Drosophila melanogaster: one gene and its partner. The protein of the gene in region 1 interacts with the protein of each later gene in a biochemical or structural test. Each region holds a gene or a part of one and is shown in the gene's direction. Other genes may lie near its edges.

Evidence for each region.
Region 2: of the proteins of otu (region 1) and Ubi-p63E, one has a biochemical effect on the other in vitro, tested with the Drosophila melanogaster proteins (one study listed by BioGRID).

What each region holds. Positions count from the first base shown.
Region 1 is NC_004354.4:8,478,418-8,494,334, reverse strand, and holds otu (ovarian tumor), read left to right. Parts: upstream 1-4,799; 5' UTR 4,800-4,961; exon of another isoform or gene 4,962-4,987; intron 4,988-5,212; exon of another isoform or gene 5,213-5,391; intron 5,392-5,482; 5' UTR 5,483-5,503; coding exon 5,504-5,731; intron 5,732-5,793; coding exon 5,794-5,891; intron 5,892-5,960; coding exon 5,961-6,115; intron 6,116-6,172; coding exon 6,173-6,568; intron 6,569-6,621; coding exon 6,622-6,758; intron 6,759-6,952; coding exon 6,953-7,078; intron 7,079-7,341; coding exon 7,342-8,586; intron 8,587-8,654; coding exon 8,655-8,831; 3' UTR 8,832-9,327; downstream 9,328-15,917. Other genes in the region: Cp38 (chorion protein 38), read right to left, coding at 11,275-12,150, 12,377-12,421; Cp36 (chorion protein 36), read right to left, coding at 14,035-14,841, 14,931-14,978. UniProt on the Drosophila melanogaster protein: Catalytic component of a deubiquitinase complex consisting of bam and otu. The complex deubiquitinates K63-linked polyubiquitinated proteins; this antagonizes the ubiquitination activity of Traf6 and regulates the IMD immune signaling pathway.
Region 2 is NT_037436.4:3,892,128-3,907,376, reverse strand, and holds Ubi-p63E (Ubiquitin-63E), read left to right. Parts: upstream 1-4,192; 5' UTR 4,193-4,373; intron 4,374-4,456; exon of another isoform or gene 4,457-4,522; intron 4,523-4,669; exon of another isoform or gene 4,670-4,850; intron 4,851-5,326; exon of another isoform or gene 5,327-5,524; intron 5,525-5,606; 5' UTR 5,607-5,617; coding exon 5,618-7,909; 3' UTR 7,910-7,946; downstream 7,947-15,249. Other genes in the region: ida (imaginal discs arrested), read right to left, coding at 1-1,775, 1,838-2,020; Sc2, read right to left, coding at 2,489-2,693, 2,756-2,871, 3,092-3,308, 3,466-3,836; Ccz1 (Caffeine, calcium, zinc sensitivity 1), read left to right, coding at 8,279-8,362, 8,418-8,515, 8,580-9,373, 9,437-9,918; Lamtor4 (late endosomal/lysosomal adaptor, MAPK and MTOR activator 4), read right to left, coding at 10,022-10,229, 10,286-10,440; Gr63a (gustatory receptor 63a), read left to right, coding at 10,774-10,983, 11,044-11,193, 11,269-12,378; Fie (fire exit), read right to left, coding at 13,119-13,208, 13,263-13,399, 13,463-13,844, 14,388-14,531.

The sequences.
Region 1 (15,917 bases):
AAATAACCGATTTTGCACAAAAAAAAAAAAACATTCAATTTTCTATCTCAATTTTGATTAATTCCACCAACCGATTCTCAATGTCGACTAAGTTCCGACTAGCAGGGCCACAGTTTCTTATTTGATTGCTCCAGAAACGCGCATTTGCTGAATATCTCTATTTAAACACATGTGTTATGTAGAAAACTCTCCAAAGGAATTAGTTTTTGTCTTCGAAAGAGCAGCAAAAAAAAAAGAAAAGCAAACGGACTTTTGGTAAGAGTTAGGGAAGTTCCACTGTACGATGCCTTAATATTTTCAAATCAGTAGCACTTTTAATGGTTTCAGGTTGTCGAAGTGGACCCAATTAATTAATTTATTTCCCATAGATCAATTTGCAGTGGGCTCCTAATTCCCGCTGAGTTATCAAAGACAACAAATGACGTTGTCTGTTAACTGGAAACCAAAGATGAGGTGTTAATGCCAATATTGACGCGATTGTTTACCAGGCAGCATGAATGCAGAACCACTGACGTCATAACGAGCACATTGGGTCTTAGAAAGCTTTTGAGACACCTACGCAAAAAGACGCAGCTCATTCTGAGCACCCCGGATATACACATGGGGTAGAATTAATAGTAACAGCAATCAAATATTCGAATTCTATTCCAAACGCATTAAATCAATTGTTAATGTATATATTTCTGCAATTCGCAAGTCAGTTTAGCAGTATATATGTATACACTATACGCATTCTGTTGCTATTTTTTCGAACGCAAGTGTACCCGTGTAAGTGGGCGCGTGTAAGCCCTTGAGCCCGAGATCGAAATGGCCAAAATCCACTCAAAAAGGGTAAACAAAGGCAGCGAAAAAGCAAGATAAATCGAAAATGATTAAACGCTCATGCGCTGGGCACTCAAAAAACCGTTATGCGCCGCTGCCTTTTAAAAAATTATATGAATACAAACAAAAAAAAAAAGGGTGAAAAGCCGACTATGGCAATGAAAATAAATAAACAAACAACAAATGCAACTGCAACTGGAAATGTTTGTAAACAATGCCGTGAAAAATAGGCCCCAATAACATCAAACTAAATGTTACTAGGCTAAGTTATTCAATTCACGATTCATTGGGCAAGTCATAACCTATAGAAGATATCGATTATGTTGCTCAATATGCACCAATGACGTGACTCGACCATACAGCTTGGGTGCGATTAATAGCATAGCTGTATTTCAAATTAATGATATAAATTAATTAATATACATTCGAATTACATATGAATAAAGGTTATTAAAGGGTATTAATTTGTTAAACGACACCCCCCACCCCACTTCTGCTGACAATGCTAGTTAGATGACCGCCGCTGTAGCTTAAATGCAATCGATTAAGCTCCGCATAAACAGCTGACTGCGATGAACCGTTAAAGCCTCGTCATCTGGCAATGGCAATGAAAGTGCAACTGCAAGTGTCATTATAATATTGCAACCGAGCAGCCGATTGCAACAAAAAATAAAACCACACAACAAATAACAACAAGCTAACAAATAGACGCTGGCGTGTTTACAGAAAATAAACAAATGGCACCAAGTTGGGAGTCAAGTGAAGTCGGGCCAACTCAAGCAAGAAGTTAAACGCCATTTCGGCGAAGCAGTACACTGCTTGCACGCTGGCCTTAAACTTTGCGTTTCAGGGCCACGTTAGCAAAACCAATTGTTAGCATAATGCAATTAGTGTAAAAAATCAAACAAACTATAAATTAATACTTAGCATTACATTAATTGCTGCGAAATTCCTCTTTACTGCGTTCTAAAAATAGCGTGCAGCAAATTATGGGAAAATGCAATAAAAGATGTCAAAGCGAAACAAACAAACTAAAATAAACTTAAGTAAAACAAAAGGAAAACGGAGAGAGGCCTCTAGGAATTTGTTTAAAAAAAATTAGTAGCGATTCGAATTACATTTTACAGTGGTGGCTGTGAAATTGCCAATTTCTGGCACTTAATCGTTAGCTTAAAATCGTTAAATATTTTTTATAAATAATATGGCAGTTAGAATTTGCAATTAAATAAATGCATTTTTTGCACTCTGTTAACCCCAAACAGTAAATATAAATATGGAAAGTGTACCCAAGGTGGCCATTCAAATATTAAATTAGCGTTAGTAAATAAGGTTACACTAAATAAATGTCAATTAAACAAGCAAATAAATGAGAGTTTAACTTAAGATATAAAACGGTTAACTTAGCATCGGGGATTAACGTAATTCGGGGTGAAGTGCAAAAATATGACGGTCTTTTGGATAAGGTGTCAAAATTTAGCTTACATATGGGCCGGCGGCGCATGCGGGTCTCATTTTTCTCGCCGCCACTGTGGGCACCGCTACTGTTAAACGGCTGCATCTTGCGACTGAGACAACAACAAGTGGTAAGCGGTATTTTACCGATTCGATTGGCAAAGCAAATACGTGAAAAGAAAAAAGAATCAAAAGAAAAGCAAGAATTTAAGTAAAGCAAAACTATAAAGACAAGGATAATAATTTTGTTGTTAAGGCAGCATTACACTGTAGGGTTCGAGCACCCTGATATTTTTAATGAAATCACTTGAAAGATTTTTCGATACTGAATTTGTCAAGCTATTTATAAAAGAACAACAACGAACTGTGTATTACTGCCCTATTAATATATTTGCGCTTTGCAAACCAGGCACTTCGCAGACAGATGGGTGTTCCTAATAGTTGCGTCCACGACTGTGTGCGGTTCGCTAGAGTGAAGCTAATAAAATAACCGGTTCGTGGCAGCCAAACAAAAAAAAAGAAGATATTTCTCATGCACAATTCACTTTTTTATTTGGCAAATGTTGCTTCGGATTCTCTTGGCAAGCGAAATTCTCTTTGTTTTGTTTGGACTGTATGCTTTACCTCTTACTTCCCCTTTTTATTTCAGCAAAGACGCGACGAGCTAAAATGTTCGAAGGCAACTAAAAGCAGCAAACGGAAATTCTTAGCCGCCGACCGGCAAACAATCGCATCAGAAAAAAAAAACAACAAAAGCAGAGAAGACAACTTTCGAGATGTTCCCAAATTCAGAAACTCACTGTGCTATTTCAAAGATGGTTGGTATTGTTTGTATTTCTACACCATCAAACATTTCATTTCGCATATTTGTGAAATTACGTTAATATAATATTATCACACAGCACAAGATTTTGAAACCACTTATAAAAACAACATTTAGATGTTATAAAATACCATGCAATATCAGATATAAAGCTTTAAAGACCTTTATATTTTGGAAAACAAAGTGATGGTTTTTCGAAAACAGGAACGTCGATTTTTATCACATGAAGAGTTTAAGTCGTTAATTCGTGTTTGAGGGACACATGTCAAGAACCGCGAGCAAGCGAGATGGAGCTAATGGAGCACTTATCTGGGAGCCCGACGAGTCCGGTTCAAGAGACCTATATTTTTGTATTTTCTTTATTTTGTTTTTGGTGATAAGATAGTTGCGGGAACAGGATAGTTGTATAATCGGTATATTGATAAGACGACCGACAATATATTGGCCGAATCATTTAATCAATTAATTGCTGACAAAAACGAACCAAAGTTCGAAGGTCAGCAGACGGCATTGCAGAAATGTCCGTGACATTGACCTCGGCACCTGGAAAATGAAATACCACCCAAAAAAAAAGAACATCATATCTATGTCACCATTTGACCCAGTTAATCGAAAATCGTGGAATTAACGAAAAGGAATCAAAGAAATATTATTTCGTTGGGCCGTGTGTGGGAAAGAGAGGTGGCGCAAACAAGGCGAGAGAGAGACGGGGCGAACACGCGTTCAACAAACTTGATTAACGGTTTATCGATTTGCCATCGCACTCGCACAAGCACGTGCTTTGTTTGTCGCTCCTATTGATTTTTACGGCATTGCTTGGATATGAAATAACCGCACATTTCTACTTCTTCCTTTTGTGCACTCCTTCCAATTTCATAACGTTGTTTATTTGCATGTGTGTATCGCATGTACAAATGTCCATTGTTGTGTGTGGTTGAGTCCACGTGTGTTGTTTTTGTTAATGACTGTGATTTTCATATGTAAAACTCTTTGTTATTATTATTCGATGGAAGGAGGAGGAAAACGAAACAGATGAACATGGCGTAAAGTTGATGAAACACCGAGAGGAAATAGAATTCATAGTCGTTGCGTTTTGCACACTCGCAAGATAACCAACTAACGACATTTACTAACAATAAACAAAAACATAACTTTACACGAGAACACAAAAAACACAAAAAAAAAACAGGAAAACAAAAGGCACACACAGTCACACACTCACATCTCTTCCAGACAACTTTTGTCGCGGTAACAGCGCGAACTGAAAGTTTGCTCCTGGCTTCATTGACTCGCAATTTCGAACTGAGTCTGATGAACAAGAACAACAGTGCGCCGTGTGGAAAGCGGCATTTTCCACCCCCTAAAAAGCGGGCCAGCAACAACAGCAACGACAGTAACAAGAACAATTTGAAGGTAACAGAAACTTTTGGGGATGACACGGAACAGATGATGCCGCTATCGGTGTCATCGATAGACGGCGATAACAGGAGTTTTTTAACCGCTCAGCAATATATTTCAAGTATATCATACACTTGTGTATTTCATTTAGAAAGTATTCAACAAGATCAGATATATTTATTTTGTTGATAAAATCACGAACCAACTCCATTGATTCATTTCCGCACATCACTATTGCCCAATTTCGTTTGTCGGCATCCTTCCAGGCACTGGAAGTTCGTTCTTATACTTTTCGTTCGCATTCTAGTTCGCGGGTTCTCTGAAAGGCTAGATCGCGCCATTCGCTTCAATTCTTCGTGTAACGGTGCTAGGTGCGGATGCCAGTGTTATTTTTAATTGTTAATTTAATTGTTAACTATTTATAAAAATAGAATTTGTACAACAGAAGACGAACAGCAGAACACCGGTAATATCTCGATTCGATTTTAACTGTATTAGTTGAAACATTTATAGTAACGGTAATTTGTCAAGTGACGAAATTAACTAATTAAGCGCAGCATGAGAGGCTTTTAAATCATTAAATTTTAAACAAATATTTAATTTTCATCAGCTTCATCACATTTAATTTTGCTCTTTTGCTTCATTTGCCTTTCTACTGCGCCATCTTGAATTCGCAGGTGCATATTGTCATCTCGCTCTGAAGCCCGGCTTGTATGGAGTCGGTTAATAATTGGAATATATTTGTATTGCAGCAAATTTGCTTTAAAACTATTAAAGTTAAAAAAACTATACAATAGTTAACATAAAATAAGTAATAAAGCTTAGTATGCGCACTTCTTAGTGAAACGACAATAGATAGCAGTTGAAAAGTGATTGTGAAGGTCAAATAGATCGAGGTCAGGGCCCTCTTCTAACTGTTAATTGTGCAATACTTGTATTTCAAAGGGAAAACATGACAAAAAAAAAATGAAATGAATAAAATTTAAGTTTCTCGATTCCAGAGTCGCCATGGACATGCAAGTGCAGCGCCCCATTACGTCAGGCAGCCGGCAGGCCCCGGATCCGTATGATCAGTATCTGGAGAGCCGTGGACTCTACCGTAAGCACACGGCCCGGGACGCCTCCAGTTTGTTCCGTGTGATCGCCGAGCAGATGTACGACACCCAGATGCTGCACTACGAGATTCGGCTAGAGTGCGTCCGCTTCATGACCCTAAAACGACGCATCTTTGAGAAGGTAGGCCTCTAACAATCACACATTTTGTAAAAAAAAAAGAAATAATTTTATTTATATCCCAGGAAATTCCTGGCGATTTCGATAGCTACATGCAGGACATGTCCAAGCCCAAGACATATGGAACCATGACAGAACTACGCGCTATGTCCTGCCTATATCGGTAATTAATCCTTAGTTACTATTTTCTATTAAATTCTACAAATATATATGATTTCTGTACGACTTCCAGCCGCAATGTTATCCTGTATGAGCCCTACAACATGGGCACCAGCGTCGTTTTTAATCGTCGCTATGCGGAAAACTTCCGTGTCTTCTTCAACAATGAGAATCACTTTGATTCGGTTTATGACGTTGAATATATAGAAAGAGCCGCCATTTGTCAATGTACGTAGCCTATTAATATATCCAATTTTGCTTTTTGTATATGTACGTTGCTTTCAGCAATCGCCTTTAAGTTGCTGTACCAGAAGCTTTTCAAATTGCCTGACGTATCCTTTGCTGTGGAGATTATGTTGCATCCACACACCTTCAATTGGGATCGCTTCAATGTGGAGTTCGATGACAAGGGCTATATGGTTCGCATTCATTGCACCGATGGACGAGTTTTTAAGCTTGATCTGCCAGGGGACACAAACTGCATACTGGAAAACTATAAGCTGTGCAATTTCCATAGCACCAATGGAAATCAGAGCATTAATGCTCGAAAGGGAGGCCGGCTGGAGATTAAAAACCAGGAGGAGCGAAAGGCATCCGGCAGCAGTGGCCACGAACCAAACGATCTGTTGCCCATGTGTCCAAACCGATTGGAGTCCTGTGTCCGCCAGCTGCTAGATGATGGTCAGTAGAGGTGGTTTCAAACATCAAATGCTTACATAATACTCTCTTTTTAGGTATCTCTCCGTTTCCCTACAAAGTGGCCAAGTCCATGGACCCCTATATGTATCGTAATATAGAATTTGATTGCTGGAACGATATGCGCAAGGAGGCCAAGCTTTATAATGTCTACATAAATGACTATAACTTTAAGGTAAACTGTGCAGAACATTGGATTATCGTTAGCACACATACACACGCACACCAACACACGTTTCATGTCAACCACCCATCCAAATTAACACCCTTTCATTTTCATCTATACACTGGATACACCTTATACTTTACTATACATGTATGTCTTGCCTTATCCTTCCTCGTCTCGTCGCCGTGTTATTTGTTTTCCAGGTGGGCGCCAAGTGCAAGGTGGAATTGCCGAACGAAACGGAGATGTACACGTGCCACGTTCAAAATATCTCCAAAGATAAGAATTACTGCCACGTCTTTGTTGAGAGGATTGGCAAAGAGATAGTGGTACCTCTTCTTTTTATCTGATTTTCTAGACCCTTGCAGAGAAATGCAAAAATTTCGATTAGAAACGATTATCATATTTAACAATTAGTTAAATTTGTTAAAGTTTAGTTAAAAGTATATTAATTGTGGCCCAATGAACTGGTATATAAGTCTATAAAATAATTGATCTGCAAGGGCTAAAAATGTTCGGTATCCGAAGCTAATTGTAACTATTTCGCTTTAATAGAGAGCTTACTAATATACAAACATATCTGTTGGCTTAGGTCCCGTATGAATCGCTCCATCCCCTGCCGCCAGATGAGTACCGCCCATGGTCGTTGCCATTCCGCTATCATCGCCAGATGCCTCGCTTGCCGTTGCCCAAGTATGCCGGTAAGGCCAACAAGTCTTCCAAATGGAAGAAGAACAAGCTGTTCGAAATGGACCAGTATTTTGAGCACAGCAAGTGTGATTTGATGCCCTACATGCCCGTGGACAATTGCTATCAGGGTGTGCACATTCAGGACGATGAGCAGCGGGATCATAATGATCCTGAACAAAATGACCAGAACCCGACTACGGAGCAGCGGGATCGTGAAGAACCGCAGGCACAGAAGCAACACCAGCGCACGAAGGCATCAAGGGTTCAGCCGCAGAACTCGAGTTCCAGCCAAAACCAGGAGGTTTCGGGTTCGGCTGCCCCGCCACCCACTCAGTATATGAATTACGTGCCAATGATACCGAGTCGTCCTGGGCATTTACCGCCACCTTGGCCTGCATCTCCGATGGCTATTGCCGAGGAGTTTCCGTTCCCCATTTCAGGAACCCCGCATCCACCGCCAACCGAAGGTTGTGTATACATGCCATTCGGTGGTTATGGTCCACCACCACCGGGAGCTGTTGCTTTATCGGGACCGCATCCATTTATGCCGCTTCCTTCTCCACCGCTAAATGTTACCGGAATTGGCGAGCCACGTCGTTCTCTACACCCAAACGGTGAAGATTTGCCCGTGGATATGGTGACTTTGAGATACTTCTACAACATGGGCGTGGATTTGCATTGGCGCATGTCGCACCACACGCCGCCTGATGAACTAGGAATGTTTGGATACCATCAGCAGAACAACACTGATCAACAGGCAGGACGGACTGTAGTCATTGGCGCCACAGAGGACAATTTGACTGCCGTGGAGTCAACACCACCACCTTCGCCAGAGGTGGCAAATGCCACAGAGCAGTCACCGCTTGAGAAAAGTGCCTACGCCAAGCGCAATTTGAATTCGGTTAAGGTGCGCGGCAAACGTCCGGAGCAGCTGCAAGATATTAAGGATTCGCTGGGGCCAGCGGCATTTTTGCCCACTCCAACGCCATCGCCAAGCTCGAATGGCAGTCAGTTTAGTTTCTATACTACTCCATCGCCGCATCATCACCTGATAACACCGCCGAGGTTGCTCCAACCGCCGCCACCGCCACCGATATTCTACCACAAGGCGGGACCACCACAGCTAGGGGGAGCAGCTCAAGGACAGGTAGGAGTGATACATGCACTAACAAATTCAAAATATTCTATAGGCAATCGACACTCGACCATTTTTAGACTCCCTACGCCTGGGGCATGCCAGCTCCGGTGGTGTCCCCCTATGAGGTGATCAACAACTATAACATGGACCCGTCGGCTCAGCCACAACAACAGCAGCCAGCCACCTTGCAACCAGCTCCCTTATCTGTCCAATCTCAGCCGGCAGCTGTCTATGCTGCAACGCGTCATCACTAAACAAAGAAAGAAAAAAAAAAGGGAGCGGGGGCAAAAAACAGATCACTTGAAAGAGAGAGGCCATACAGATCGAAGGCATTACATTCCATTGCAATTAACGGCTTTTAAAATTTAATCTCACTTTTAAATTTGTAGTTAACTTTTTATAGGCCATAAGCGTTGGCGCTCTATCATAAACCATTCAGCTTCTGTACAACAATCGATTGCATAACCTAACGCAAATGTCAACCCAACTTCATTTTAAAAATGTAATTTAACGTAATTTTATGCGAATTTTTTTAAAGTTAGCCGTCACGAAATCAAAGAACCACCTATTTATATGATTTATTTAAAACCCTTCTAACCAAAAATATCTACATACTATCTACTATATATATACATATATATATATATATATATTTATGTGCTCGCTGTTCGGCTAGAGACTCACCTATGTAAAGTGTACCATCAAAAATTAACCATAAATAAAACAAGATTCAACTGCAGCGCAAGAGACAAAATGTACAAAAGACTTTTGCAGGTGCTGCAATTACGTGGTATTCTCGTGTTTCGGCGCGATTTCAGATAGCAAACAAAAGGTGTGGATTGGCTTGGATTACTTTGATTCACCTCGTCACATCACATCGACGCTGATCTTCGAAACGATAAAGAACTCTGATGTAATCCTTTAGTTTCATTGTAAAAGTTTGTTATTATTGTATGTACTGTCTTTATTTGTGTCATAATTTGTTTGTCTATGTTAGTTTTAGAAAACGCTGTTATTTTTGATAAGCAGATAGTTTTTTAATGCATGGGTTTATATTGTAGCATATTACATCAAATTAGTGCATACTAACTAAGAAAAAAAAAACAACAAAAAGTATTTACAACTAAGAAAATTAGATATTAGAAAATTTATAAGGTTCATTAGTTCAATCAATCACGATTACTTTAGTATGTAGTACATTGAAAATGTTTTGAGCTGTCAACATTATCCTGCTAAAACTAACCCATGTTAAAACCATCCAGAATGCTGAAGATAAGTTGAGTTAAGGAGTGCAACGCCTCCATACTGGTTTCCGTTGTCCGTTTAGATAAGGGCTAGTTGGAATAAATTATGAAAATAAGTATCTTAAACAAAAATTACAAAATATGCTAAAGTACTAAAGAACTTGGAAGCTAATAATACGATGGTATCACAGAAATCTTTGTACATAAGTTTAATATTTCAATTCACCAACGTACCTGTATGGTTTGTTTAATTTGAATCGGCCAATAAGCAATATATGTCTCTGTAACAATTTCGGTTATAAGGACTTTCTGTGATACCCTGGACAAAATTTGTTATAGGTATTATTTGTTGTTATTCTATGGTTAACATATCAGTCATTGTTAAAACAATACTAACTTGTCCAGAACAGTAGGCGATTATTGCGAAACACAAACCCATTACAAGGAAGCATAAGTGACTCATTTCGCCTCTGTTGTTGGTTATTTGGTTTTGTTTTTTTTTTTTTTATCACCGAAAAGTGTTCGCAAAAAAAAATATTTGAACTTGAAACCGATTTGTTTTGGCTCGCTTTAATAATTCTGTTTAGTTGGTTATTTTATTAATGCTCTCAATTTATTTCTGCTTACAGACTGAAATCTCTGTGCAAAGGTATCGCATTTTTATGCTGAATTTTCAAACTGCCAAATGGGCGGCACTGGGCGACCTAAATTGCGATTCCACCTGTCATCAGCCGAGCTCTTCTTTGCCTTACCTATCATTATAGCCGATTTTGCCGCCCGTTTGTTATTGAACAATTGCGTGGGATGCCATTGGCATAACGCACAACAATGGGGAAGGACAACCAAACGATGTGTGTAATGACAGCCTGCGTTTCGGATTTATTGTATTTATTATATGCGACACTTGTTGCTGCGAATAAAGTTGCGGGTAAGTCAGTTCTCCCATCATTAAATCGATTCTCATCATATGCACTTTGTGTAACAATAATTATATAATAATATCAATGATATTACTCACTGTCTATGCTATAAGTGTATCAAGTTTAAAATGAGTCGCAAGACTATCAATAACTATCAATTAGAGTATATATCTAATGATAGTTTAATTTAAATATAACTAGCATCTAGATTTCACCCTTCATCGAAAACAACATTCAGCTTGGGTATAATTGTTTTTTTTTTTTTGTTCAAATTTTTTATTTGTTTTGCAAAGAAACCTGAGTGCCACGCCCCTCCTGGGCCGTTGAATGGGTGAGTGGGTGGTATTGGGGTGTGCATGAGTGGGCGTGGGCGTAGGCATGGGCGTTGGTCGATCAGGCTGTTTTTTTTTTTTTTTTTTGTAAAAAAAACATAGTAACTAATCAGCCGGATAAGCGAATGACTAAACCAGCCGCTTCAGTTGATTCCGGAGCCGCAGCAGTCATCCAATCCGTAACTCCTCCGCATCTGTTACCTAATAGGCGGGAGCAGCATAGCCGCCATGTCCGGCTGGACCGGCGCTATAGTGCTGATGGCTTGGAGCGGGACCATAGGGACCCTCACGCTCGCCGGCGATGTTGGCAAGAGCGGACAGACCCTGGTTGCCGCTCTGGAGCAGCTGATAGCCAGCGCTGGCGGCAGCGGAATCAGCTCCCGAAGCGTAGGCGGGCAGAGCACGGCCACCGTCATGGGGTCCAGGACCATGGGGTCCAGCACCGTGTCCACCGTGTCCGTGTCCGCTGTGTCCGTGTCCATGGCCACCGTGTCCATGGCCGTGTCCGTGGGACTGCGAGCCCTGTCCGTAGCCCTGCTTGTTCTCGTTGACAAAGTACTTCTCTGCTGGGGGCTTGACCACATTGACGAACACGGGCTCAACCTTGACGCGACGTGGGTGGTGCTTGACGTAGACCTTGCGGAGAACGATTGCTGGGGGCTTGTGGAGCACCACGGGAGCGGGCTTAACCACCAATGGTGGATGGTTCACCAGCACCTTGGTGGGCGGACGCTTGACAATGATGGGAGCGGGACGATGGATGAGGATCTCGCCCTTGTTCTGCGGGTAGGTGATCGATGAGGTCAGGGTGTTACCCTTGGTGTTCACCGGCTTGTACGGAATGTTCTGGTCGGATCCGTAGCTGCTCTGGCCAGCCTGTGCCACACCGGCGGCATCGGCTCCGGATTCGAGAGCACCAGCACCGGCGTTAGCACCACCGTACTCGCCACCAGCTCCACCGGCACCGCCGGCAGCTGCTGCGGCCGCTGAAGCGGCATCAGCACCGCCATCGGAGGCACCGCTTCCGGACTCGGGTCCATAGCCCTGGGAACTGCCGTAGTTGGCGCTTGCACAGGCCTAAAAGTAAATTGAGGGGGGGGGGGTGGATTAGAATTGGATCGACATATACATATACTTAAAATAAGTCTAGCATCGATAGATAGCTTGATTCCGTTTCAAGTAATTTAAAGGAAAGTCAATTTGCTTTTCATGTACGATTTACATGGCACAAACGAAAGCAGTCAGAATTGATAGACTTGGTTTTCTTGGGATTAATCCTAAGATTTCGAGCTTGAACACTTACGATCAGGCAGGCGGCCAGCGCCCAAATGTAGGTCGATCTCGTCATCTTGTCTCCCAGTTGCAGTTCCAGTTGCTCTTCGGCTTCTGGTGTGCTCCCGCTTGGACTGTCTGCTGTCTTCTGCTGCCCTCCATTGGTGGCCGACTACTTTAAATATGCTCCGGACGCGTCTCCGGCTCCGGGTACGTGACATTTGGATTGATGCCAACTCCGGTGCCGGCTGTTCCGCTCCGGGCCCACGCGATGCGAACGAAACATGGCCAAATGTTGATAGATCGCACGCATCGCTGCCAGCGCATATCACGGCGTCTCTTCCACTTACGTAGAAGCCACAACCCGAAAACCCCACTGCCCACTGCCCAGTTGCCATTGCCCGTTTTACAATAACAACGAACACATTGCCACCGAATCGGAATCAACAGCCGGGCTGTGAATCTTTGCCGCATATCGAGGTCCGAACGTCTGTTCAGATAGCGAAAATAGTTCCGCATTGGCAGACACAAGACTCCGGGAGTCGGAATAAGAGGTAATCCGAGGTGTAAGTGGATAGGGGGAAATGATTAGCCACCCAGCTGTAGTCCTTGAATTTCACACGGATTGCGCAGATTCGATTGTCTTTCTATTGTATTGTATTGTATTGTATTGTATTGTATTGTATTGTATTGTATTTCTTACTATAAATGTGATTAGATTGTTAGAAGAGTGGCTATCTTCACATGACCATTTTTAATTTAGAAAATCCATGTAACTGATTAAACCATCAGTTTAAAGTACCATATAAAAATGTATACTTAATAATTGCCAGATAAAATAAATCTCTAGTTGCAAAGAGATTTGAAGATGAAATATGGATCTTTAGCTATTCCAATTAGGAATTCAAAGGCTTACAAACACCTAAAAAGATTTCCAATTCTTCAATTATTATGTTGTTATGTTTTAAAACAATCTTATGAAACTCTAATATGAATTTGGCGTTTCAAAAGAAAAGGTTTAAATACGTATTTAATGCATTAAAAGTGCTATATTCTTTGTTTAAAAGAAAAGAGGCCGTAAAATTATAGTTGCTCCATTAATTCATAGTTATGTTATTATTTATTATTCATTCCGGAATCAACAATATGTTGATAAAGATGACCTTTTGATCCCATTCTTTGCAATTAAACGATAACTGGAATAAGATAGCTACCATCACAAGAGTGTGAAATAATTTCATGCATGATAATGCTATCCAATATCTTTCGAATTGTATCTCATAAAATGCGTACCATGTTTATGCATATTTATAGAATAGTTAAAATACTTGTATGACCGTAGAGATTTCAATTACAAACTTATTTATACTCGTTCATAATTTTATGTTCATACTTTATACCATTTTCCCCTTTATTATTTATTTTTGAAGAAAACTAGATATAATTTTTTGTTCTCTCATGCATTCGTATATATTTATATATTCATAAATATGTGCTTAATCTGTGTGCTTCATTGCCACTCAGGTAGCCCCTTCCGGTCGAAAATAATTGATGACAAAACGTTTACGTTTCAAGTATTTTTTTTTCATTTATTTGCGCTCAGTAGTTCGGCAAAGAAAAAAAAAAACAAAAATTTAAATTAAACCAGCTGTCGCAGCTGAGGAGCAACCCATGCCCAGGATGAGCACCTTAGTAGTTGGGCTGGCCATAGGGCGCGGGGCTGTTGTACAGTGGAGCCTCGTTGCCGTAGGCATTGCCATCGGCAGAGGAGGCGGCACCGGCGGCGGAGGAAGCAGCTCCGGCACTACCATAACCCTGGGGCTGGCTGTACTCCCTGGGCTGGCTGTAGACGGGTGCAACCACCGGGGCCAGTGGAGCCTCGATCTTCTTGCCGGGCTTGTAGACCTTCACGTAGACGGGGTTGAGGCTCAGCGGAGTGGGCACCTTGTTGATCACCTCCTGTTGGTAGATGACCGAGGGCTTGATCTTGTAGATCACCGGATTGCCGCGCACCACAGTCGGTGGGCCGCTGTTCACATGGGCTGGTGGTGCACCAGGCTGGTGGACAATGATTGGTGGCAGGGGCTGGGTGGCGATCACCTGGTGATTGTTGTGGCCCGATGGCACCAACAGGGAGCGGAACAGATGCTGGTCAACGAACTGTGGCGACACCACCTTGATCTTGCCCTGACGGATATTGCTGGCCAGATTGGTCTCGGCCAGAGATTCGGCAATATCCTCGGAGTTCTTCAGCTTCTGGTAGTTGGGATCGGCATTGAGGGCCTGAAGTTGGGCCTGGACGCGACCCAAACGACGGGCCTCCTCCGGCGTGGGCTGGATCTCGGCCTGTGAGGCGATCTGATTGGCAGCCTGCTGGTTGCCACCAGACGCCACATTCACGTACTCCTCGAGTCCGGCATTGGGACCGGACAGGTACTGTCCATGTCCATGTCCGTGTCCGTGTCCGCCAGCGGGACCATAGTTAGCGCTCACCAGCTAATGAGGAGGAGGTAAGAGAGAGAGAGAGAGAGTTTGCGAGATTAGCGGGATGCCCAATGCGAATGCCATGGATAAAAGCTACTAACCGGCGTGGCGGCGATGGCCAAAATGCCAAACCAGAGACCGAGTTGCATGTTGCCGTTTACGTGTGGATCGTCTACTGCTCGCTGTCTGGCGATGACTCCGGCTCTTTATAGCGCCTATAATCGCTGCCCGCCATGGCCGGCTACGTGATCCATCTCCATTTCCGATTTTGCGCCGCATCTTTGTCTCGCCATCGTGCCCAGATCTCTAGACAACCAACCTCCTATGCACCTATGCACCGTGGTGCACCACTCTGCTTTCCGCTCGTCGCAATCTTCTATTTTTTGGCAGTTGTTTCCCTTGGCTTGAATCATAGCTCTTCCAAAGATCGAATATGATGCCAACGCTACGAGAGTCTCGTTTTGGTTGCCTTGTTGCGATGATTACAGCTGTGCTGCAATCTCTCTGCAATCCTTTGGGTTTGAAGTTAATATCCTTTATATGTTTTTACATTGCATTTTAACTTGGGACTTATACTGAAATGTGTACATAAACATGCCCTGCAGCAATGTTTTTTTTTAATCACCCAAATTTAAAGATGTTATCTATAAACTGATAAATATCTTACGCTCGAGATATATGAATAGATAATTTTTGTAAAAATTTCCGAGAAAGATATACCATGTAAACCATATTAGCAGATTATATTAGATATATAAGTACATTTATAACCGCATTCAATTCGATGCAGTTTTAAGCTTTAAGTTTGTGTTTATTAGCCATATAATTAAATTCAAAGGTATTAAAGACATTTAAGTTATTCCTCTTAAAAGGCATCTTTATTTTTAAAAATAAAATGCAACATTCTTATATTTTATGATTTTCGGTGGATTGTTTCGTCTCAATGTGAAATACAGTATCTTATATTTAAATCATTTGTTATACCTAAACTTATATAAACATTGTTACTAAAAACCTGAGCAATGAAAGTTAAATTGTTGATTCAATTTAAACTTGTAGAGTAGTGTATTATGAGTCACTGAAATTTT
Region 2 (15,249 bases), on another chromosome or scaffold:
AGGGCCAAGAGCAGATCCACCAGAGCTAACTCATAATCCATCTGGGCCTCGGACATTTCCTCGGACACACGGAGCAGAAGCATTGTTGTTTCACTTGAAAATCGACCGTTCGCCATGCCACAATAACCAAGCAACACTTGAACCCTCATCCTAAGGAGGAATGGTATGTTATCCTGCACGGCCAACTTGTCCAGGAGGCGCCTGGCATTGAAAAACTCGCGCTTGGCCACATATATGGAGGCACGTTGGAATAAGGAGTCAGAGGGATCGATCAAATATAGCTGATCGCAAGCCTTCAGAGCATCGTGCCAGCGACACTGGTAGATTCCCGCCTGAATGACCACATGACACTGGCTTATCATCCAACCCTCGGCGCTGGGCAAACGCGGAAAGCGCTGTTTAGCATGATGTAGGAGTACTTTGGATAGTTGTGGCTCTCCTTGCAACTGAAGCCACAGGGCGAAACTGGCCAAAGCGCTTCCCAAACCCGCAGATCCACTGCCGAACCTGTCTCTGCCTGTCAATAGGACTTGGGAGTACAAAGCAGCTAGCTCATGCCTTCCATAAGCAGACCAAACAGCACTCCTCAAGGCAAGGGCCTCTGATGCGTGGTCGGCGAAGTTGTTGCGATTAGTGAGATTGTCGCTGTGCTGCAGGAGATCAAAGAGTCTTAGTGGTTGGTAGCCAGCCACCGTTCCTAGTTTTACAGCGAAGTGTAGGGCTAAGGTGTAGTTCTGCAGCAGGGAACCATCCACTTCGTTGGCATCCTGCACACTCTTTTGAACAGCGGACAAGGGAAGCTCATCCCTGAGCAAGCAGTACCAAGTGTTGGCAAGGTTGAGGCTCCTTTTGTCGCCGTGCTCCTGGGCCAGCATAATGCTTTCCCTGAGCGCTGCTAGCGCTTCATCCCGATGACCAAAGGTGGCATGTAGTACCGCCAGATTGACGCAAAAATACTGGTAGCCCTTCTCCTGGCTCATCAGGCGCACGGGACTCCTGTCCAATGCTCTGTGGAGGGCAGAAAGAGCATTGTAGTAATCCCTAACTCTCAATTGATTCATATAGCCCAGGAAATAGGGTGTAGTTGTTAGTGGGAGGTCGTGTATGATCTCCTGCACCTTCTTCTGGAGTTCCAAAGGAGGCAAAGCCTTACGCTCGTTATTCTCCAACAGTTCCGACTGTTTGTTGATGAAAAACTTGGCCTGTTTTGGTGCCCATTTGCTCAGGGGATTACGTTCTTGGGCAATACGAGCTACGGCCTCCACTTTCTTCTTAGGTTTAGGATCCTCAGGCTTTTCTGTTATGGGATTCGGAGGAGGGGTCTCCTCCCTATGCAGAATACCTCCGGCTACGGCCATTCTTGAACCAGAGGCAGCAGCTCGAACTCCTCTCTCGTAATAGGAGCATACGTTCTTGTACATATCCATCATCTCAGGGAAACTGAGGCGCTCTAGCACCACGCCCACTCTGCGCACATAAACGCCCACCATGCTGAACTGGCTAATGCCGTAGTTTTCGTTTAGGATCTCGTCGATGTTCTGGATCTCCGAGAAGTCAAACAAAGCCTCAATGCTGCCCGCACAAAACTCGGACATGGCTTTTTCGAAGGATTCCAGCATCAGAGTATCCAGTTTGTATTTCCCCGTGGTCAACAAACTATGTAGCTCATTGTAACTCTTGTCCTGCTCCTGAATGAGCTTGAATACCAGCATATAGAACATGCGCCGTCGCTGGGTGCGCATGGATATCCCAGTATCCAAACAGTTTTTTTTGTTCTTTAAAAATTGATAAATGTTAGAAGTTGGTTTTCACGGAGTAAATAAGTGGGTGCACCTACAATCACATACTGTTTGAGCAATATCAACACGGTAATCTTGTGCGCCGTGGGCGTCTCGATGCGGGGAGGCTCTAGTTTGAAGGAGGGGTCCAAGGTGTCCAGCTCCTCGAACAGATTCATGGTTAATTTAGGGCCTCTAAATCCAATTTTCGATTTGCCGGCAAAATGTAAACACAAAATCATCAGCCGCAGCCAACTTAGCTTCGCTGGAGATGCCAAACGGTACGGAGTTCAGCAGTGTGGCAGCTCCAGATGGCGCGTTGTTTCAAAATGTTTGTTCAATAAAAATGCATTATTGGTTTACTAAAGCTATAAAAAAGGTGTTTCATTCTGAAATAAAAGTGTTAAAAATAAATGACCCAAGGTGGCCACTTATTTTTAGCAAGGTAAGCACCTGGCACACCTTTGAAAGCCCCAAATAAACTATTACTGATTACACGCGCTTCGTCGAACTTCCCATACGATCGATCAAAGTCCAAAAAGCGACGAAAACACGCCAAATGTACGCTTCTCCAATTTGTATTTGCTTTAAATCAACGAAAGCACAAAGTTCACTAGACAACTACCCTGTTAAACGCTAGCCAAATGTGTAAATGTATAATGTGGAATAGGTAATACAGCGAATGCGTCATGGGGATACCCACATCCAACCTACAGGACGAAGGGGAAGATGGAGCGGCGCTGGCGAGGGTAGTCCTTAAACTCCTTCTTGTAGTTGCGATGCTTGGCCAAGGCCCAAATGGTCATCTGGAAGGCTCCGGCAAAGGCGAACAGATAGGCAGCCAGGCAAGAAGTCAGCACAGAGAATGAAACCCAGGCACCGATCTCATAGGTGTAGTTGGGGCAAGAAACCAAGCTGCAGTTCGAAGAGCGCGAATTAATAAACTTGAGCTGTGGGTTTTTTTAGTGACCACTTACTCGAACAGCTTGGTGAGGGGATTTCCATCGGCCACCGGAATCTTGCGCACTTTTGTTCCCGGCGGACGCAGGTTGCGCAGGGCAATGTGCACCGAAAAGTTTCCTAGTTCGCAGAGCTGAAAGTGAAAAGTGTGCGGCTTAGTTTGTGGGTCTGCAAATATGATTAATGGATCCCAAATATATAGCACATATAACATTACAAATTGCTTGACCAATTTTAACAAAAAGCTACACCTTTGGTATTAAGAAACAAATGTTTCGAACAAAAGCAAAGGAAACCGGTAGATTACGAAAACATATAACCCAGATCCATAAACCATGGCCGCGGATACATACAGCGAATGCCCCAAGAGCTCCCCAAACGGTGCACATGCAGGGCGAGGTGAACTGCGGATGGTTCACGTGGTAGGACACATAGGCGGTGAATCCCCAGTAGTATGTGCAGTTCTTGAAGAGATTCCTCAGCGGCATGGTGGCGTGCGAGAAGCGGTGCACGAAAATCGTCTCCAGCAGACGCTTCACATAGTGGACCGTATAGCAGCCGGCGGCAATGCTGGGGCAAAAGAGAAAAGAAAGCGGGTTACTGGGTGAACCACCATCCAAAGTTCGGGGATAATTATGCAGAGCCGTTGCGTTTTAGTTTGCATAAGCGACGAGGTCGATTAGGTCGACAATCGAAAGACTTCAGAGACTACTTTCTACAAACTCACTGGGTGGTTAGGGAAATCGGCAGACTGGCAGCTTTGCCGTACACCAACTCCGGTCGGAAGTAGAAAATCAAGTATACAATCAGTGGGCCGGCGTACTCGGCCAGGAAAACGGTCTTCCAGCCAATCTGGGGACCCAGATCCTTCACATAGATCTTGTCGCCGGAACGCAGCGACAGGGATTCCAATGTGTCCGTATCCTTTAGGCTTTTGCCCTTCAGTTCCAGACGAAGCGACTGGCGATTCGCGTGTGGGGTCTGCTTCAGGGTCTTGTGAATTAGGGCGCGCAGATCGCCGATGGGCGTGGCGCCGGAGGGCACCTTCACCTTGCCGTACGGCTTGCTGTTCTTCGCGTTCAAAATCTCCAGCTCCATTTTGCTTTCGGTGCGCTTGCAATCAGTACTGTCCAAAATCGAAAATCGCCGAACCGTAGTGTGACCGTGCGGGGCTCTGCGAAAATAAACTTTTTTAGGTATATGGCCACACACGGGGAAAGCACAGTGGATTATATGTATTAATATATTATCCAGGTTTTCATTACTTATCCAGATGTAAGCCCACTTAAAGCGATTTAACAATTATTTGCCGAAAGAGTATAAACAAATTTTACTTAAAAATGGATTAAGAAAAGCTTGTGTAAGATTATGCGCAGCGTTGCCAGATAGCTCCATTTAAAACACTTCAAAAACAATAAGTTTTGAAAATATATACATAAATAGCAGTCGTTGCCGCAACGCTCAACACATCACACTTTTAAAACACCCTTTACCTACACAGAATTACTTTTTAAATTTCCAGTCAAGCTGCGAGTTTCAAAATTATAGCCGGTAGAGAAGACAGTGCTATTTCAAAAGCAAACTAACAAGGGTCTTAAATTCCAAAACACCAATCCTAACAAGCCTTGGACTTTTGTAAGTTTAGATCAAAGGTGGCATTGCATTCAATGTCATGGTAAGAAGTAGGTCGTCTAGGTAGAAATCCTCATTCAGCCGGTCAAGTCAGTACGAGAAAGGTCTCAATTTGAAATTGTCTTAAAAATATTTTATTGTTTTGTACTGTGGTGAGTTTAAACGAAAAACACAAAAAAAAAGTGATACATAGAAATCATAAAAAATTTTAATACAAGGTATTCGTACGTATCAAAAACATTTCGGCACAATTTTTTTTCTCTGTACTAAAGTGTTACGAACACTACGGTATTTTTTAGTGATTTTCAACGGACACCGAAGGTATATAAACAGCGTTCGCGAACGGTCGCCTTCAAAACCAATTGACATTTGCAGCAGCAAGTACAAGCAGAAAGTAAAGCGCAATCAGCGAAAAATTTATACTTAATTGTTGGTGATTAAAGTACAATTAAAAGAACATTCTCGAAAGTCACAAGAAACGTAAGTTTTTAACTCGCTGTTACCAATTAGTAATAAGAGCAACAAGACGTTGAGTAATTTCAAGAAAAACTGCATTTCAAGGTCTTTGTTCGGCCATTTTTTTTTATTCAACGCTCTACGTAATTACAAAATAAGAAATTGGCAGCCACGCATCTCGTTTTCCCAATGAATTGGCATCAAAACGCAAACAAATCTATAAATAAAACTTACGTGTTGATTTTCGCCAAGATTTATTGGCAAATTGTGAAATTCGCAGTGACGTATTTGAAAATTCGAGAAATCACATACGCACTCGAGCATTTGTGTGCATGTTATTAGTTAGTTGTTTAGTTAATTGAAGTATTTTACCAACGAAATCCACTTATTTTTAGCTGAAATAGAGTAGGTTGCTTAAACAAAGCCACGTCTGAAAATTTCTTATTGCTTGTAGTTGTGACGTCACCATATACACACAAAATAATGTGTATGCATGCATTTCAGCTGTGTATACATACATGCACACACTCGCAACACGAAAACGATGACGAAGCAACGGAACAAAGGTTTCTCAACTACCCTTTGTTCCCTGTTTCTTCGCTTTCCTTTGTTCCAATATTCGTAGAGGGTTAATAGGGGTTTCTCAACAAAGTTGGCGTCGATAAATAAGTTTCCCATTTTTATTCCCCAGCCAGAAAGTTAGTTTCAATAGTTTTGTAATTTCAACGAAACTCGTCTGATTTCGTACTAATTTTCCACATCTCTATTTTCTTCCCGCAGAATAATCCAAAATGCAGATCTTTGTGAAGACTTTGACCGGAAAGACCATCACCCTCGAGGTAGAGCCCTCGGACACCATTGAGAATGTTAAGGCTAAGATCCAAGACAAGGAAGGAATTCCCCCAGATCAGCAGCGTCTGATCTTCGCCGGCAAGCAACTGGAAGACGGACGCACCCTGTCCGATTACAACATTCAGAAGGAGTCCACCCTTCACTTGGTCCTTCGTCTCCGTGGTGGTATGCAGATCTTCGTGAAGACTTTGACCGGAAAGACCATCACCCTCGAGGTAGAGCCATCGGACACCATTGAGAATGTGAAGGCCAAGATTCAGGATAAGGAGGGAATCCCCCCAGATCAGCAGCGTCTGATCTTCGCTGGCAAGCAGCTTGAGGATGGACGCACCCTGTCCGATTACAACATCCAGAAGGAGTCCACCCTTCACTTGGTCCTTCGTCTCCGTGGTGGTATGCAGATCTTCGTGAAGACTTTGACCGGAAAGACCATCACCCTCGAGGTAGAGCCATCGGACACAATTGAGAATGTTAAGGCTAAGATCCAAGACAAGGAGGGAATTCCCCCAGATCAGCAGCGTCTGATCTTCGCCGGCAAGCAGCTTGAGGATGGACGCACCCTGTCCGATTACAACATCCAGAAGGAGTCCACCCTTCACTTGGTCCTTCGTCTCCGTGGTGGTATGCAGATCTTCGTGAAGACTTTGACCGGAAAGACCATCACCCTCGAGGTAGAGCCTTCGGACACCATTGAGAATGTTAAGGCTAAGATCCAAGACAAGGAGGGAATTCCCCCAGATCAGCAGCGTCTGATCTTCGCTGGCAAGCAGCTTGAGGATGGACGCACCCTGTCCGATTACAACATTCAGAAGGAGTCCACCCTTCACTTGGTCCTTCGTCTTCGTGGTGGTATGCAGATCTTCGTGAAGACTTTGACCGGAAAGACCATCACCCTCGAGGTAGAGCCATCGGACACAATTGAGAATGTTAAGGCTAAGATCCAAGACAAGGAGGGAATTCCCCCAGATCAGCAGCGTCTGATCTTCGCCGGCAAGCAGCTTGAGGATGGACGCACCCTGTCCGATTACAACATCCAGAAGGAGTCCACCCTTCACTTGGTCCTTCGTCTCCGTGGTGGTATGCAGATCTTCGTGAAGACTTTGACCGGAAAGACCATCACCCTCGAGGTAGAGCCATCGGACACCATTGAGAATGTGAAGGCCAAGATTCAGGATAAGGAGGGAATCCCCCCAGATCAGCAGCGTCTGATCTTCGCCGGCAAGCAGCTTGAGGATGGACGCACCCTGTCCGATTACAACATCCAGAAGGAGTCCACCCTTCACTTGGTCCTTCGTCTCCGTGGTGGTATGCAGATCTTCGTGAAGACTTTGACCGGAAAGACCATCACCCTCGAGGTAGAGCCTTCGGACACCATTGAGAATGTTAAGGCTAAGATCCAAGACAAGGAGGGAATTCCCCCAGATCAGCAGCGTCTGATCTTCGCCGGCAAGCAGCTTGAGGATGGACGCACCCTGTCCGATTACAACATCCAGAAGGAGTCCACCCTTCACTTGGTCCTTCGTCTTCGTGGTGGTATGCAGATCTTCGTGAAGACTTTGACCGGAAAGACCATCACCCTCGAGGTAGAGCCATCGGACACAATTGAGAATGTTAAGGCTAAGATCCAAGACAAGGAGGGAATTCCCCCAGATCAGCAGCGTCTGATCTTCGCCGGCAAGCAGCTTGAGGATGGACGCACCCTGTCCGATTACAACATCCAGAAGGAGTCCACCCTTCACTTGGTCCTTCGTCTCCGTGGTGGTATGCAGATCTTCGTGAAGACTTTGACCGGAAAGACCATCACCCTCGAGGTAGAGCCTTCGGACACCATTGAGAATGTTAAGGCTAAGATCCAAGACAAGGAGGGAATTCCCCCAGATCAGCAGCGTCTGATCTTCGCCGGCAAGCAGCTTGAGGATGGACGCACCCTGTCCGATTACAACATCCAGAAGGAGTCCACCCTTCACTTGGTCCTTCGTCTCCGTGGTGGTATGCAGATCTTCGTGAAGACTTTGACCGGAAAGACCATCACCCTCGAGGTAGAGCCCTCGGACACCATTGAGAATGTTAAGGCTAAGATCCAAGACAAGGAGGGAATTCCCCCAGATCAGCAGCGTCTGATCTTCGCCGGCAAGCAGCTTGAGGATGGACGCACCCTGTCCGATTACAACATCCAGAAGGAATCGACCCTTCACTTGGTGCTCCGTCTCCGTGGAGGAATCCAGGCTTAAACTAAATACATTTCCAAATAAACACAATTTAGCACGCACTTCACTCTAAATAAATATGAGGAGATTATGGATGGCCACTTTCCTTTCTGCATTGTCAAAAGGGAAGACATCAGAAAAATTCTAAATTTCAGTAAACGCCATGACATAAATTTTATTAAATCTATTAAATTCCAAAATAAATGAAAAAGCTTTAAATTCGCTTATTAATTGTGTGGTATTTTTTTTAATTTGGTACTGGAAACGTTTGGTATATACTAGCACACTACATTTGGTAAAATGTAACCCTGGTTGGCAAACACGGACGCGTTAGTACCTTTTCATTATTTACCTTTGGCCAAAATAAATACTTTTAATTCTGTGCGGAAAGAAATGGCTAAATTATTGCAACGCGTAGAAATTACGTTACGCAGCTTTTACATTTTTAACTCGACTTTTGGCCAAGTTGAAGGCGAGGTTGGCAAATCAATTTTAAGGCTAAGAAACGCCCCTAATGAGTAATTTTTTTCAGGAACACAAGAAGGTTTTGTTTTACCATCCAAATGACATTGAATTAAATACGAAAATCAAAGATGTGGGACTAAGTGAGGCCATCATAAGGTTCACTGGGTATTTATGGAACTTTTTACATAGAGGGAAGTGGGTAATAATACAGAGTTTGCTGTACTTGCAGAACTTTTACATCTGAAGATGATTGCCAGGCCTTGCATACCCAGAAAACCACACAACTCTTCTACCAACCCGAGCCAGGGTATTGGTTAGTACTGGTCCTGAATGTTCCCAAGGAGGTGCGCTTAAAGGAGGGCGTGGAGGTGGCCGATTATCGGGGTGCCGAGATCTCCGACAGGATTTATAGAGCAATACTTAGACAATGCTATCAAATGTTTCGCTTTCAAAACGGATGTTTCTCCTCCTGCGGAAGTGAAGAACCTAATCCGGATAAGCGTAGGGAACTGCTCTGCCAGAAGCTACTCCAGTTCTATGATCAGCATCTGACCAACCTGAGGGATCCCGCGCAATGTGATATCATCGATATGCTGCATTCCATTCAGTATCTGCCATTGGATAAAACGCTCTTCTTGCGGGCCCAAAACTTTGGCACCCTGTGCGAGACCTTCCCCGACATCAAGGAGAGCATAATGCTCTACCAGGAGCAGGTCCTTTGTGGCGGAAAACTTAGCCCGGAGGATCTGCACTGCGTGCACTCGTATGTCGTGCAACACGTGCTGAAAGTCGAGGCCAGCAGTTCCACCATTGCAGTTTCTCCTTCACTAAAGCGAAGCATAAGTGAATGCCAGGTGGGCGGATTCGTAAGAAGTCGTCAGAAGGTCGCAGGAGATGAACATGACGCTGTGAATGAGGAAGATCATCCAATGAAGGTCTATGTGACACTGGACAAGGAGGCCAAACCCTACTACTTGCTCATCTACCGCGCTTTGCACATAACTCTGTGTCTGTTTCTGAATGGTATGTTAAGGATTAGAACTAAATAGCCAAAATAATCAACTTGAAACATTCCACATTTGTCAGCTGACCAGGTTGCGCCGAAACAAGATCTCTACGACGATCTCCATGCCTACATGGCTCCCCAACTGACTTCGTTGGCCCGGGACATATCCAGCGAGTTGACAAAGGAGGCGGTGGGTGCTGCAGGCCAGGACAACTCCAGCGGGAACAGCGAAACGGCGCCGAAGTACTTGTTCATTAACGAACAAAGCCTGCAGCACCACACGAACTTTCAGAGGCACCTGCCCCAAGGGCTGCCCCGCAATGTGCTTAGTATCATTGCGGACTTGGCCAATGGCAGTGGCAAGGCGGAAATGGAGAGTGCTCCTGCCGAGGAAGTTCAGGTCAAGACCACCAATGACTATTGGATTGTGAAGCGGCGCTGTAACTACAGGCAGTACTATGTGATCCTGTGCAATAGCAAGGCCACCTTGCTGGACGTCACCCAGGAAGCGAGGCGCATTTTCGAGCAAGAGCTCACAGATGATGTATTTTTTGACAAATAAAGAGGAGGATTAGGTAAATAATGGGAGTGCGCCAATTGTGGGGTCTTTGTCCGGTTGCTTGCCAACAGAATCTGCAAGTGGGTCGGACATCCGACGACGGATTTCAAGCCAGCACTGCCCCGGAATCGCTGGCATCGTTATACACGCTGTTCGACGAGGAGGAGCTCGTGGTCGTGGTGACGCCATTCTGCGATTTGCTGATCTTAATGATGTATATTCTACGGTTGGACATGCAGATGCTGTAGTAGTGATGCTCGTAATCGATGGTGATCCTCTCGCAGCTGCTGCTCGGCATGAAGGACTCGTCGATGCTACAATATAGGCGTAATTATTACAAAATTCCTTCATCCTTTGTTTAAAAACGCACGTCTCTGTGAGATTTAGTAATCCCATTATCACATTTGCACTGCGCTCATCGTTCTTCAGATCTCCGCCGGACTCCAGAACTGCTCCATCTTCCTTTAGTATCAGATAGCCAATTTGATTGGGCACAATCAACTTTTCCCTGTCCATTTTCAACATATTTATTTATTTATCTTTCGCACCCACACCCACCAGTGTGACCGGACTAGATCCATTTAGATACCAAATCGGTAGCCTGGCAGCCCGGTTTCAGTGTTGTAAATTGCCACATGCGCGCCATTGACACAAATTCGAAATTGGGACACCGGGCTAAGGTTAATTCATTCAAAAGACAAACAACGCACATCAACAGGAAACTAAAACTCCGGCTCTAAGTCAACAGAGGGCGTGGTCGATAAGGGGGCGTGTGCAGGTGCATGGCTAATGCGTCCGTCTGGCGAAAAAGTGGTAAAAGGCCACGGACAAGGAAATTCCGGACACAGTCTCTCCGGAATGGCCAACTACTATCGACGCAAGAAGGGTGACGCGGTGTTCCTCAATGCAAAACCGCTGAACAGTGCTAATGCCCAGGCATACTTGTACGGGGTCCGCAAGTACTCCATTGGATTGGCGGAGCGATTGGATGCGGATTACGAAGCTCCTCCGTTGGATAGGAAAAAGAGCTCGGACAGCACGGCGTCCAATAATCCGGAATTTAAGCCGGTTTGTGGATTGCTACGCTGTTAAAACCATTTTTGTAAAACTGAATTTCGCTGCTTTCAGAGTGTTTTCTACCGAAACATAGATCCCATCAATTGGTTCTTGAGGATTATTGGAGTATTACCCATCGTGCGACATGGTCCTGCTCGTGCCAAGTTCGAAATGAACTCCGCCTCCTTTATTTACTCGGTGGTTTTCTTTGTGCTCCTGGCGGTGAGTGTGGTGTTTGCATAACATTTTTCAAAATTGACTATGGATACCATTATGTAACCCAAAACCGCTTTACAGTGCTATGTAGGCTATGTGGCCAACAACCGCATCCACATTGTGCGCTCCCTGAGTGGACCCTTCGAGGAGGCGGTTATTGCATACCTCTTTCTGGTCAACATCCTGCCCATTATGATTATACCAATATTGTGGTACGAGGCCAGGAAGATAGCAAAGCTCTTCAATGATTGGGATGACTTTGAGGTGTTGTACTACCAGATATCCGGGCACAGTTTGCCTCTGAAATTGCGACAGAAGGCGGTGTACATAGCCATCGTGCTGCCAATTCTCTCGGTTTTATCGGTGGTCATCACGCACGTCACCATGTCGGATTTGAACATTAACCAGGTGGTGCCCTACTGCATCCTGGACAACTTGACTGCAATGCTGGGTGCCTGGTGGTTCCTCATCTGCGAGGCCATGAGCATTACGGCTCATCTTCTGGCGGAGCGGTTCCAGAAGGCACTGAAACACATTGGACCCGCTGCCATGGTGGCAGACTACCGTGTTCTGTGGCTACGACTGAGCAAGTTGACCCGTGATACTGGAAATGCCCTGTGCTACACCTTTGTTTTCATGAGCCTCTACTTGTTCTTCATCATTACCCTTTCGATTTATGGACTAATGTCGCAACTCTCCGAGGGATTTGGCATCAAGGACATAGGACTGACTATCACGGCTTTGTGGAACATAGGACTGCTCTTCTATATTTGCGATGAGGCACATTATGCCTCGGTTAATGTGCGAACCAATTTCCAGAAGAAACTACTCATGGTGGAGCTTAACTGGATGAACTCGGATGCCCAGACGGAGATAAATATGTTTTTGCGAGCCACCGAAATGAATCCATCGACCATCAACTGCGGTGGCTTTTTTGATGTGAACAGGACTCTCTTTAAAGGACTCTTAACCACAATGGTCACTTATCTGGTGGTTTTGCTGCAGTTTCAGATCAGTATCCCCACAGATAAGGGGGATTCTGAAGGCGCTAACAATATAACCGTAGTGGACTTTGTAATGGACAGCCTGGATAACGATATGAGTCTAATGGGAGCCAGCACTCTGAGCACCACCACTGTAGGAACCACTTTGCCACCGCCAATTATGAAGCTAAAGGGCCGGAAAGGCTAGTGGAACAAATAATCCTAAGACAAGAAAGATATTATTAGATAATGTGCATCTGTAGCTGAGGCCAAATAATAAAAGCACCCAAAACTGAATATTCCAAACATTTTTCTAACTTGATGTACATTAAATTAGTAAGTGTGGAAATAATAAAAAACACGTTCATTAGATATGTTACAATTTTGCACTTTTATTTGATATTCGTTCTGTGCCACAAAATAGAAATACCTAAAATATTGCTAGTCAACAGAATTTAAGGCATATTATAGTTAAGTAGTGGTAAATCTACTGAGAAACTAAGCTTTAAAAAATTCGTTGCTACAATACATATTTGTATGAACGCCAATTTATTTAAGACAAGTTTTTCGTTTCAAGATTTTGGGGCTTAATCAATCTCGGCTATCCCGAGAGTTTCGCTGCCGTAGCCTAGGGGTTAGAGAGTGCGACCTTCGCTTCGAAGTTCCGAGTTCGAGTCGCGTTAGTGACCAAATATTATTATTATTTTTTTTATTTTTTAAGGTGCTTTGGGAGCTATTTCTACACAAAAATAGTTTATAGTTTAATCGCCGAACGCTTTGAACCGATTCTGCATTTCTAATAAGCCGCTCCATGTCCGTTGGCTATATAAAATAGTATCTCTACCAAAACCATATCACACTCTGTTTTGCAATACAGAATTTGCAGTGCAATTGCAATCAAGACACCTGATGGGAAGTTCCAAAAATATCCAATCTTTCAGTACATGTTTAACACTGTCCATCGGGAGACTCGGTTAGAATGTGCTTATATCCATTGCTGCCCAGATACATGTGCTCGCGTTGGAAACGATAGGGTATCTAATGTATAAGAAAGTTACTATTAAAGTTTTCAAAATATTGATACCAACTTACGGCTCCTGGAGCTGGACATGGTATGGCCACAGTGGCAATCTCTCGAAGCTTATTCATGGTGCGTAGACTCTGGTAGAAGCTATGCATCACATACCACTTGCAGTAATCCATGCAGATCAAGATGTAGCAAATGATAACTGAAATATAAGATAATTCGTTATTATTTACTTCAAAATTTAAGCCTAAAAATCCAAACTTACAGTAGGGCACTTGACCACCCAGCAATTGCACGATTTTTGTATCCCTCAGCATGAAGACCAGTGCCCCCAAACCAATCATTAATAGGAACTCCACAACCAGCCAGGGTATGATTAGGCCCGGCCGATTTTTGAAGACTCCGAAAAACAGGAATATGGCACTCAGGGCGTAGGTACCCGCGATACCAGCCATCACGTAGAGCAGATTCTCCGTGGCGACGGCCAATTGGGCAGCGGTTTGCAGGCGAAGATCGTTGTGAAAGGGCGACATGTTGTAGAAACCATTGTCCTTCTGGTCCAAGATGTCCAGCTCCAGCACCTCGCACATCTGTTCGGCATGCGCCAGTCCCAGGAGAACCAGGAAAAGGGCGCAGTGGGAGATTAACTGGGGAATATAGAAAAGCGACTGTTTAGGATCTCACTTAACAAAAAGTGTTTGCGAAAACCGGAACAACCCAGCGATCTGCTGAAGCTACCACCCTTATTTTTCACCAAACTGAACGAAGCCAGAAAGCTGCTTCTACAATTCCCAACTGGTTCTAGGAGCTTTCGCAACAACTCCCAATATATTTCAGGAGAAGAGCTTTAAAAAGGGTGCTCGTCCTGGCACGTTTCCGATCACGAAACTCAAGTGCGGACGCATTGCGCCGCAGGAGCGTCTCCTTCGCTCCGCCCCTGGACTTCTCCGGGGATAGGCGGGGGCGAGCGTTCCATTGCCGCCTTCGACGCCTCCTTGCGCGCCCAGTGGGGTATGGCTTTGCATATCCAGTGCGTAATTTTTGTATTTGGGGCCGCGGCTGCACATTGTGGATTGCTCGGGGATTCCCGGATCTCCCTGCGTGCCAGTGCGCTGCGCCCCGCCTGAGATATCCATTCTCCAGTCTCTTATATAATCCGCTACTATATATACATGTATGTTTGAACTTACCAACTGGTAGATGCTCGTCAAGAGCGCCGTGGTCCTGAGGTTCTTGGGCGATACGGGCGCCATCAGCATTTCCCAGCTGCGGCGACAGCAGTTTTTCCATTTGCATCCTGCGGCGGATTGGCCGCTGACCGTTGGCAGCAGCATTTCACTTTAGTTTTCCGAGTTTTACTTAATCAATTTATGGATTTTTCCCGCTTATTCAGCTAATCAAGGAGCGACGCAACTGTTCCGCGGCTGTTTCGTCATGCAATTGAACTTGGAGACCTCGCGAAAAGGTGGAGGGGCAACACCCACGCGACCCAAACTTTTCCGGAGCTTTTTCCTGTGGTTTGGGGCGTAAACTGCACTAGCGAATTAATCAAAAAAACTATATGGATAAAACAACGTTGAGTGCCAAGGTCCGCAAAATGTTTTGACTCGGCGAAAAGCTTTTACGACTGTGTTTTGTTTCATACTCTGCCGTTGAGTTTTTTGGCTATCTAAAGCGTGTGGTTTATACAATATATGTACATGTAAGGATAATTCAAAAATCAAAGTATTCTTAGACTAACCAAATATTTTTTTTAAATTTATGGCTTAATAGCTTTATATTCAGTAATGACTTTCAATTGGTGACCCCGACCAAACGTTGATTAAAATAGCCAAGCTAGCTTGTGAATCTCCTTTTTTAAAGTTGTATATCGTTTTCTTAGTAAAATATTACAATCATTAATTATGATTTAGAGTATCTAAACGTTCTCCAATAAATAAAGCCTTGGCGAACAATTTTGGGGGTTGTTTTCCTCTTGAAACCGCGCAGATGTTTATCGTCCCATTCACAGAGCTTTCTTTTGACTTTTCGAAGCTTCCGCCAGAGTTGCCA